Macaca fascicularis: one gene and its partners. The protein of the gene in region 3 binds, or shares a complex with, the protein of the main gene of each other region. Links are inferred from orthologs where the notes say so. Each region holds a gene or a part of one and is shown on either strand. Other genes may lie near its edges.

The links. Proteins that work in one complex are often made in the same cells at the same time.
Region 1: SGF29 (region 3) and YEATS2 share a complex: the UniProt entries of both Homo sapiens proteins name them as parts of the ADA2A-containing complex. The link is inferred for Macaca fascicularis from reciprocal best matches to the Homo sapiens genes SGF29 and YEATS2.
Region 2: SGF29 (region 3) and MBIP share a complex: the UniProt entries of both Homo sapiens proteins name them as parts of the ADA2A-containing complex. The link is inferred for Macaca fascicularis from reciprocal best matches to the Homo sapiens genes SGF29 and MBIP.

What each region holds. Positions count from the first base shown.
Region 1 is NC_088376.1:95,674,079-95,677,600, forward strand, and holds part of YEATS2 (YEATS domain-containing protein 2), read left to right. Parts: coding exon 1-182; intron 183-2,392; coding exon 2,393-2,554; intron 2,555-3,522. UniProt on the Homo sapiens protein: Chromatin reader component of the ATAC complex, a complex with histone acetyltransferase activity on histones H3 and H4. YEATS2 specifically recognizes and binds histone H3 crotonylated at 'Lys-27' (H3K27cr).
Region 2 is NC_088381.1:104,133,827-104,136,817, forward strand, and holds the end of MBIP (MAP3K12-binding inhibitory protein 1), read right to left. Parts: intron 2,763-2,991; coding exon 2,724-2,762; intron 2,630-2,723; exon of another isoform or gene 2,459-2,629; intron 1,146-2,458; coding exon 1,038-1,145; 3' UTR 522-1,037; downstream 1-521. UniProt on the Homo sapiens protein: Inhibits the MAP3K12 activity to induce the activation of the JNK/SAPK pathway. Component of the ATAC complex, a complex with histone acetyltransferase activity on histones H3 and H4.
Region 3 is NC_088394.1:27,843,891-27,847,412, reverse strand, and holds part of SGF29 (SAGA-associated factor 29), read right to left. Parts: intron 1,299-3,522; coding exon 1,223-1,298; intron 563-1,222; coding exon 490-562; intron 1-489. UniProt on the Homo sapiens protein: Chromatin reader component of some histone acetyltransferase (HAT) SAGA-type complexes like the TFTC-HAT, ATAC or STAGA complexes.

The sequences.
Region 1 (3,522 bases), on a different chromosome or scaffold from region 3:
ATTGGAAAGAACACCCACCAAAATGACAACATCCCAGAAAGTTACCTTTTGTTCTCATGGCAATTCAGCTTTCCAGCCAATAGCATCAAGCTGCAAAATTGTGCCACAAAGTCAGGTTCCTAATCCTGAGTCACCTGGAAAGTCCTTCCAGCCCATCACCATGAGCTGCAAGATTGTGTCAGGTATGCAGATGTGTGGAAGACAGTGTATGTGGAGTTGACTGGATGTTAAAATTGTTGGAACAACAAAACAAAATACTGTGGCTTTTTTTCTCTCAAGTTTTTCTAAGCAGTGTTTCTTTAACAAAAGGAAGTCTATCGCTGTTGATTGCAAAACTGTCACAAGGCAAAAACAAAGCTCATTCATATGGAAATGAATGGAGGAAATAAATGAAACTGAAATGGTCAAATTTTTGTCTCCTAGAATCACCAGAGGTAAAATGTTTGCTAGCAAATATGGCTGAACTACAGTGTAGGAATCGTGTTTGGGGATTATATACATGGAAACCACAGTGACTAGTAATAGAAAAAGTTTAGAAGCCTTTGGCGTGGAGTTAAGCTTTAAGGGTTAGAATTGGGTGGGAATTGAAATGCTTTATTCTCTCTGTAACCACATTAGAAAATTACTCATTCCTATTGTCAGTAGGTAGTTCCGAGTTGTCTTTTTCACTAAGGTTGGATTATCCTTTGTCTTGTGACAGTTTCACATATGTTAAGTAAAATTTAGTAGGAATACATACTTTATGGTTTTGACTGTTCCACCTTAGAACAAAACATATTTGTTAAAAGGCAATTGAAAATATCCAGGAAGTGTGAGGACTTCTGTACAATACTTAAATGAAGGGGGGAAAAGGGAATGTTTGGTGTTATAAGTAGACAGCTAAGCAGAAATATGATCCAAATCTTTGAAATTGATGAGAGATAAATAGCTTCTAATTGGTAGGCAATTTTTTTTGTTTTTGTTTTTGTTTTGAGATGGAGTTTCACTCTTGTCACCCAGGCTGGAGTGCAATGGCACAATCTTGGCTCACTGCAACCTCCGCCTCTCGGGTTCAAGCGATTCCCCTACCTCAGCCTCCTGAGTTGCTGGGACTACAGGCACACACCACCACTCCCGGCTAATTTTGTATTTTTAGTAGAGATGGGGTTTCACCATATTGGCCAGGCTGGTCTTGAATTCCTGACCTCAGTGGATCCACCCACCTCGGCCTCCCAAAGTGCTGGGATTACAGGTGGGAGCCACCGCTCCCTGCCATTGGTAGGCAATTTTACCTACCAGGTAGGAAAATTTTGGAATTTACTACTTCAGAGGTAGAATAGGCCAAACATATAAATTGATTTGAAGTTTAGAGAAGTTCATGGATGGTAAGTTTGATCAATAAAAGACAGTAGAGGATGTTTAAGTGTCAGTAACTTTTGAGAGTATTTTGCGAGAACACAAATCTTTCTGGATTATGACTGTGACATAGTATTGACAGAGACTTTTGCTCTGGGTAGGTGAATTTCATATTTTCCTATTCAAAACAAGACACAAGTTTCTTAAATCTAGCTATTTACTTACTAATGTCCTTCCTTCCTCCCTCCCTCCCTCCCTTCCCTCCCTTCCTTCCTTCCCTCCCTCCCTTTTCTCTTTCTTTCCTCTTTCTTTCTTGTTGCCCACGCTGGAGGGCAATGGTGTGATTTCGCCTCACTGTAACCTCCGCCACCCGGGTTCAAGGGATTCTCCTGCCTCAACCTCCCGAGTAGCTGGGATTACTGGCATGCGCTACCACACACAGCTAATTTTGTATTTTTAGTAGAGACAGTGTTTCTCCATGTTAGTCAAGCTGGTCTTGGACTCACAGCCTCAGGTGATCCACCCACCGCGGCCTCCCAAAGTGCTGGGATTACTGGCATGAGCCACTGCGCCTGGCACTTACTAATTTTCTCCCTAATTTTAGTGTCTTCAGGTATAACCAGTACTATAACAGCCTGCCTGTGGTGTTAAAAGATTTATCATATCAAGATTCAGCAGTTAAAAAAAAGATTCAGCAGTTTTGCATTGCTGTGTAAAGCACTGCTTTCTCAACTGTAATGTGCATACCAGGAGATCTTGTTGAAGTGCAGATTTATGTTCAGTTGGTCAAGGATGGGACCATAAAATCTGTTTCTTACAGTTTCCTCAGTGATGCTGATGCTGTTGGTCCAAGGATAAGGATGCAGAGCATGAAGCATACATCCTCTGCCTCCCCTATACCCCTGTTGCTGCTCAGTACTGGGAGCATGCAGTTCCATTTTATTTTCCCAATGTGTTACCTTTGTCCTGGTGGCACTGACCTTCTTCCTTGTCCTCGACATCTTACATGAGTTGAATATGTGTATTTTGTTTCTGTTCTCCCTTTTTAATTAATAAGGTTCCCCAATATCAACTCCAAGCCCATCACCATTGCCTCGAACCCCGACTTCCACTCCAGTTCACGTGAAGCAAGGCACTGCCGGCTCTGTTATTAATAATCCTTATGTTATCATGGACAAGCAGTCGGGGCAGATGATCGGAGCCAGCACTCCCAGTACAGGTGTGTATGTGATCAATATTTGTACAATCCAAAGGGTTTGATCTTTTTATTTTATTTTACTTTTTTTTGAGACGGAGTCTCGCTCTGTCGCCCAGGCTGGAGTGCAGTGGCCGGATCTCAGCTCACTGCAAGCTCTGCCTCCTGGATTTACGCCATTCTCCTGCCTCAGCCTCCCGAGTAGCTGGGACTACAGGCGCCTTCCACCTCACCCGGCTAGTTTTTTGTATTTTTTAGTAGAGACGGGGTTTCACCGTGTTAGCCAGGATGGTCTCGATCTCCTGACCTTGTGATCCGCCCGTGTCAGCCTCCCAAAGTGCTGGGATTACAGGCTTGAGCCACCGCGCCCGGCCTGATCTTTTATTAAAAATGTAATCCTGCCGTTACTTGATAGCCATGTAATTGGAGAATGAAATCTCCTGTAAACGAGAAGCGAGAATACATAAAAGGAAAGCCAATACTGTTCCTCTGAGGGGAGATTTACTCTGTAAAAGGTGCATTTTTTAGAATTTACTTGAGTTTTCTTTTAATTTCTAAAAATTCAAAATAAGCCGTAATTAATGTTCTTAAAAGAACAGTTGATTTTGTTTTCATTTGGAAGACTTACTTTTTGGGGGACTGTAAGCAATGTGGTTACTACCTCTTCCAAAGAAGCTTTTGCTAACATTGTGGGCCACATACATTTCTCCCCAGTCAAATAAAAAAGTGATACTATTTTCTTCAGAGAAGACCCATTCTGGTTGTGGGAGGAGAAATTGAAACCTTCAATTTTAAAGAGAACTCTAATAGGAAGAAGTCATCTTTGGATTCACCGTGTTCCTCATTATAATCCCATGCAGCTGTATCACGCTTTTTAGGTTTTTTTGAAATGCTTTCCCTAACATTATTTTATTTATTCCCTTCAGTTAGCCTATATTTATTATTAATTAATTTATTTATTTATTGAGACAGACTATTGCTCTTTCACCCAG
Region 2 (2,991 bases), on a different chromosome or scaffold from region 3:
CGCTGCCTTTAAGAGCTGTAACACTCACCACGAAGGTCTGCAGCTTCACTCCTGACAGTGAGACCATGAGCCCACCAGAAGGAAGAAGCTCCAGACACAGCTGAACGTCTGAAGGAACAAACTCCGGACACACCATCTTTAAGAACTGTAACACTCACCACAAGGGTCTGCGGCTTCATTCTGGAAGTCAGTGAGACCAAGAACCCACCAATTCTGGACACAATAATGTATGTACTGCCTAATAACTGGGGTATTGTAAAGGTGAGGCTCTCAAAAGAGAGGTACTATAATTTCTTTGTAACATCCTAATTGCTGTCCAAAACCAGACCTGGTTTTATAATATTAGCTAACATTTACTGAGCAATTCCCTTGAGACAGACAGTTTCAAACATACATGATCTCACCTCTTCTTCATAACAGTAAGGTAGTTTCTATTACTGTCATTCCCATTTCACAGACTGGGAAATGAGGACAAAGACAGATTAAGTAAGTTGTTCAAAGTCACACAGTCAATAAAGGGATAAAGCTGGATCTATTGTTTATTTACATGAATACTGACATCTTAGAAATTAAGAAAAACAAGTTCATACATCCATTTAAAATTCATTTCAGTCAATAAATTTTTGTTGAATGCCTATTATATGCAAAGTACTGATTTAAACTAATAAACTGGTTAACACCAATGTTACAAATATAAAGTCCTTTTAAAGTATCAATATCAAAATAAATTTTCCTTTCTGTGGTCCACAAAAGAAAAAAGATGTACCAGCACTTTTAAATTAAGTTTTTCAATTTCCAAAATACCTCCTTTAAAACAGAAGGGAATAAATTCCAACAATGCTATTTTCAACACATTCATTATTTAAAAACTTACTGGAATATCTGAAGATTACTTGCTGCAAGCTGGACTCGTGAAAATAAACCTTGACTTCACAGAGAAGTCTACATTGATAAATATATATCCGTTGAATTAATAACAGTGTAAGTTACACATATGTATACAAAAAAGTAAAATGACAAGGATGGAGAGGAGTTTTTCATGGAAGGTGGTGGGTTGCCATGGATTCTGCTTCTCTTGATTTTCTGAGGAGGGCTTGTTTGAGGGCACTAATTTTCTCATCAAGTTCAGCCAGTGAATAGTTCTGCTGTAAACAATAACGACACAAATTGCTGAATAAGATTCTGAAGTATCTTAATGCAGATAAAGTGCCAAATGAACTATAAATATTTAAAATATTTAAAAGCATGATCAAATGGGTTTTTTTCCCTCATGAGAATAATCTTAAACCTGCACAACTATATATGTTGACTATATCATAAATTTAAAAGCATAAAATAACAAGGCTTAAATATTTCTCTTTTCTAATGATTAAGCTCTCCTGAACCTTTTATACTTTGAAAGAATAAGTTTACAAAAAAAAAAAAAAAGCCTGATTATTAGACACTGGAGCCTATTTGAAGATGGGAGGAGGGAGAGGACTGAAATATTGCCTATCGGGTATTATGCTGATTACCTGGGTGACAAAATTATCTGTACACCAAACCTCCGTGACATGCAATTTACCCATGTAACAAACCTGAAAACCCCTTGAGCTTAAGTAAAAGTTGGAAAGAAGAAGAAAAATGCTAATTATACTACTACCAGGAGAAAAAAATCATTTGAGATATCAGCTATCCCTTTTAATAGAAAACTTTCTATGTTGATTACTAAAGTTAACCTGAAGTGGAAAACAGTGAAGAAAACACTCCTTTTGCTTTCCAATAAAAATTGGATTTGTTCAAGTCTATCTATGTGAACACCCTCACTTGCATTAATATTTCTAATTTAGACACAAGTATTATGTGGTGACTATTAGGGGGTAAAGAGAAAGGGAAATTGGGACTGAGTGCTAATAGGTACAGGGTTGGGGCGGTGATGGAAATGTTCTAGACTTAGTGGTGATGGTTGTACAACATAGTGAACATACTAATAGCCACTTTAAAATTATGAATTTTATGTTATGTGAATTGTATTTTTAAAGCAGCAACAAAGTGTTACAGTTTACTACATAAGAGTAACTTTTAAAAACCTGATTATTCTCATAATCAATAGTAAAAAAAGTTAACTTTAAAAATAACTGCTTAAAATACCTAGAAATTCTCTCTTGAGGGATCAACTACAATAATTTACTTCTGGAAAAAATAATTGCTATCAAAAAATTTACTCGGAATTTTTTAAGAAAAAAAATGCTACTCTTAAAAATTAGAAAGTCTTCTCCAACTTTAAATTCACATTACCACTATTAAAGTCTAGCAAAGCCTTATTATTTAAGGTTCAACTAATTAGTAAAGTAGCACTTTAGACAGGGCCAGCTGAAGTCAAACTCTGCCAAACACCCTTTTTGATGTAGATGCTACTAATCAGAAGTGTTCACAAAAGGAAGGGATGGGGGGAGACTGAAATTACTTGAGCACTTACTATTTTTAAGCACTTGATGAATGACACATCCTTGTACTACTAAAAGCAGGACAAAGGTTTTATTTATTTAACCTATCTGAGTCATTCCATGCCCTTAAAAGAATTTTTCTATTCAAGTATATTAGTTTATACTGCCCTTTTCTTCAGTCGTAAATTGTACCAGGGTATGACCTAAAAGCAACCATAGTAGAAACTTTTATTAATAAGAAAGGTATAAAACTAATCAAACTATTTCAGAAACCAAAATGAAAATGCAGTAACTTACTTGAGGTGGTTGAACTTTTCTTCTTTTTCCAGAAAAGCTCTAGATTTTAAAAAAAAGTAATCAACGTTTAAAAAAATCTAAGCATTATTTTTTTCTTTATGAAATACCGTACAAATTACGTACAGCCTTGGGAACTCTGACAGAAAGAAAGCCAACCAATTTACCAATACCAATTATTGTCTGTAACCAACATCCACCTTATATTCTGCAAGTTACCCTCTAAAGAGGATGACATTAACAATATATAATAATAATACTGCAGCAACAT
Region 3 (3,522 bases):
AAACCTTTAGGTCATGTGAGCATGACTTCCCAGCCAAGCTTACAGACACATGCCACCACGCTCAGCTAATTAAAACATTTTTTTGTAGAGACGAAGTCTCACTTTGTTGCCCAGGCTGGTCTCAAACACCTGGGTTCAAGTTATCCTCTAACCTCGGCCTCCCAATCACCTCTGTAATGCTTTGATTATAGATCTGAGCTACCCAGCCCCTGATATCCCTATTTTAATGACTCTGCCAAGGTCACAGAACCAGTAAATGGCAGTGTTGATTCACGCCTTGCTGCCTTCTGTAAAGGCGTTAGCAGCAGAGGTAACTGGAAGAGTGGGCCTAGCAGTGGGACAGGAAATGCCGGACCCAAGGGAGAGGCCGGGAGTAGCAATCAGCTTATCCATGGGAGGAAGGCAGGCTGGGGACTTGGTCCAAATGTGCCTGCAGCCTAGCCCTGAGGCAAGGAGGGAGCGGCGGGGGAGTGGGAGCACAGTACTCACTTGCACTCAGCCTCTGCATCGGCCTTGGCGGTTGTGTAAAGGCCACGCAGCTTTGTCCGGTAATAGGGAGAAACTGCAGAGGAAACATAGGGATTAGGATGCAGGGCCAGGGCAGGCACAGTAGCATGGCACTGCTTCCATGCACTGGAATCACACTCGTGGAGGCACAGAGAGGCCGTAGCTTCAGTCAGAGCTCTGCTGGCTCAGGAGTGCTCCCCAGACGGATACCCCCAGGCTCCATGAATCCACATTTCTATATGGTACAAATGCCATCCCTACATCTGCGAGAGGACTGTCTTACCTTTTCCCCATCATGACACGCACAGAAGATGATTTGTCAGGACCCAGGAAAACACAATTCTCAGAGTTACCCAGAGTAAGAAAGCTCCAGCCCCAGAATCTGACCACCTGAGGGCCTCAGGGCATATGCAGGGGCCGCCTGGGAACAAAGCTCCTTTCTAGAAAACACCAGCTAACTGGGGTGCTTCTGTGTTCTCAGGGCAAGGTTCCCTAGATACAGCCTCATTTCAGTGCCTTTCGAATCCTCCGAGTGGAGGGATTTTAGCTCTTCAGGTCACCCAGATTAACGGAAAGCTGTCCCCCCTGCTGCATTTTGGAATATGCAGATACATGCACATCTATTTTGAATACAATGACCACCTCGGTCCCAGTCCTGGCCATACCCACCCCAGCCCCATCTCATCCCCTTTCTCTCCTGAGCCCAGGTACTCACTCTTGTTCTCTGTCTGCATCCGTTCATGGGTCTTCTGGATGTTCACTAAGTTGTGTTCGCTCCGCGAACGCTCTTCCTGTAAGGAAAAGAGCGGCAGGACATGACGGTGGCCCTTTGTGCTGCTGTGGCACCCTGCGAGCCAGGCCAGAGTCCCCATCCCCAAAACATAGCCCTCATTTTCTTTTTTTTTTTTTTTTTTTTTGAGATGGAGTCTTGCTCTGTTGCCTAGGCTGGAGTGCAGTGGCGTGATCTCGGCTCACTGCAACCTCTGGCTCCCAGGTTCAAGCAATTCTCTGCCTCAGCCTCCCGAGTAGCTGGGATTACAGGCACGCAGCACCACACCTGGCTAACTTTTTTTTTTTTTTTTTTGAGACGGAGTCTCGCTCTGTCGCCCAGGCTGGAGTGCAGTGGCACAATCTCGGCTCACTGCAAGCTCTGCCCCCCGGGTTCACGCCATTCTCCTACCTCAGCCTCCTGAGTAGCTGGGACTACAGGCGCCCGCCACAATGCCTGGCTAATTTTTTGTATTTTTAGTAGAGAGAGGTTTCACCATGTTAGCCAGGATGGTCTCGATCTCCTGACCTCGTGATCTGCCCACCTTGCCTCCCAAAGTGCTAGGATTACAGACATGAGACACCGCACCTGGCCTAATTTTTTGTATTTTTAGTAGAGACAGGGTTTCACCATCTTGGCCAGGCTGGTCTTGAACTCCTGACCTCGTGATCCACCTGCCTCGGTTTCCCAAAGTGCTGGGATTACAGGCAAGGGTGCCCAGCCATGGACCTGATTTTCTAAATCCAAATTCAGGAGTTCAAGATGATTTTCTCCTTTGACTAATGCAAAAGCATTACAAAAGACATTAAAGGGCCTGGTGCAGTGGCTCAAGCCTGTAATCCCAGCACTTTGGGAGGCCAAGGTGGGCAAATCACTTGAAGTCAGGAGTTCAAGACCAGCCTGGCCAACATGGTGAAATCCCGCGTCTACTAAAAATACAAAAATTAGCCGGGCATTGTAGCATGTGCGTATAGTCCCAGCTACTCTGGAGGTTGAGGTGGGAGAATTGCTTGAATGTGGGAGGTGGAGGTGGGAGAATTGCTTGAATCTGGGAGGTGGAGGTTGCAGTGAGCTGAGATTGTGTCACTGCACTCCAGCCTGGATGACAGAGTGAGACTCTGTTTTTTTTTTTTTTAAAAAAGAGGGCATTAAAGTTAAATCATAAGTGATATCTTTAACAATAGTCCTTTATCAAAGAGACAAAATCAATCTATACAGTCAATGCAATCCCCATCAAAATTCTAGCTGACTTCTTTGCAGAAATTGACAAGTTCATCCAAACATTCATATGGAAATTCATGGGACCCAGATTATCCCCAATCTTGGGGAAAAAAAAAAAAAAAAGTTGGAGAACTCACATTTCCCAATTTCAAAATTTACTATGAAGCTATGGTAATCACGATGGTGTGGTACTGGCATATAGATCAACAGAACAGAATCCGGAGTCCAGAAATTGACACATACAGGTAGGATCAACTGATGTGGGGAAGAAGGAGTGGGGAAGAACACTGGTGCAATTCCTCCCATATCAGTGGTCCTGGGAGCAGAGCTGTGACTGAAGATGCTGGAAACTGAAGATGACATGGTTCCTAAGCAAGAAATTATGACTATGCTTTTTAGCCTTCGTGTGAGAATTTTTAAGTGCCTGATGGGTGGGTTGTGCCTTCACCACAATCTGCAAAATGAGGTTAACAGTGAACATAGCTGCCTAGTGCTCCAGAAGGCCGATAGTCTATACCTGTGTGGCCCCACCCCATACAAATGGGAATGGATTGGGGTCAGCGGGGACACGTGCTAGACTGCTGCCACTGCAATCTGGACCAGGTACAGTGGCCAAAGCTAACATCCCTTCCAAAGGTGGAAAAGTTTGGGTGAAAACCAATCACAAATGGAGAGGAGAAATAGTAGCCGAGTTAACAGAACAAATTAAATGGGTTATGCGATGAGGGAAATCCATTGTATTCATACCTTAAGAGAGGCTCAGAGAGAGGTCAGTTACACCGGGTGCCTGAAAGGGCGAAGCCCTGTGTCTGTCAGGACCACACCTGCTTTTGGAAGCTGATGGGTGAGATGGGAGTCTGGGAACTCGGCGGCAGCTGTCTGAGGGACACCCTGGTTGTATGGGATGATGATAAACTGGTCTGTGGATGACTGAATGGAATGCGAAATCTGCCAGTATCTTTTTTTTTCCTTTATTTATTTATTTTTTTGAGATGGAGTTTCACTCTTGTCGCCCAGACTGGAGT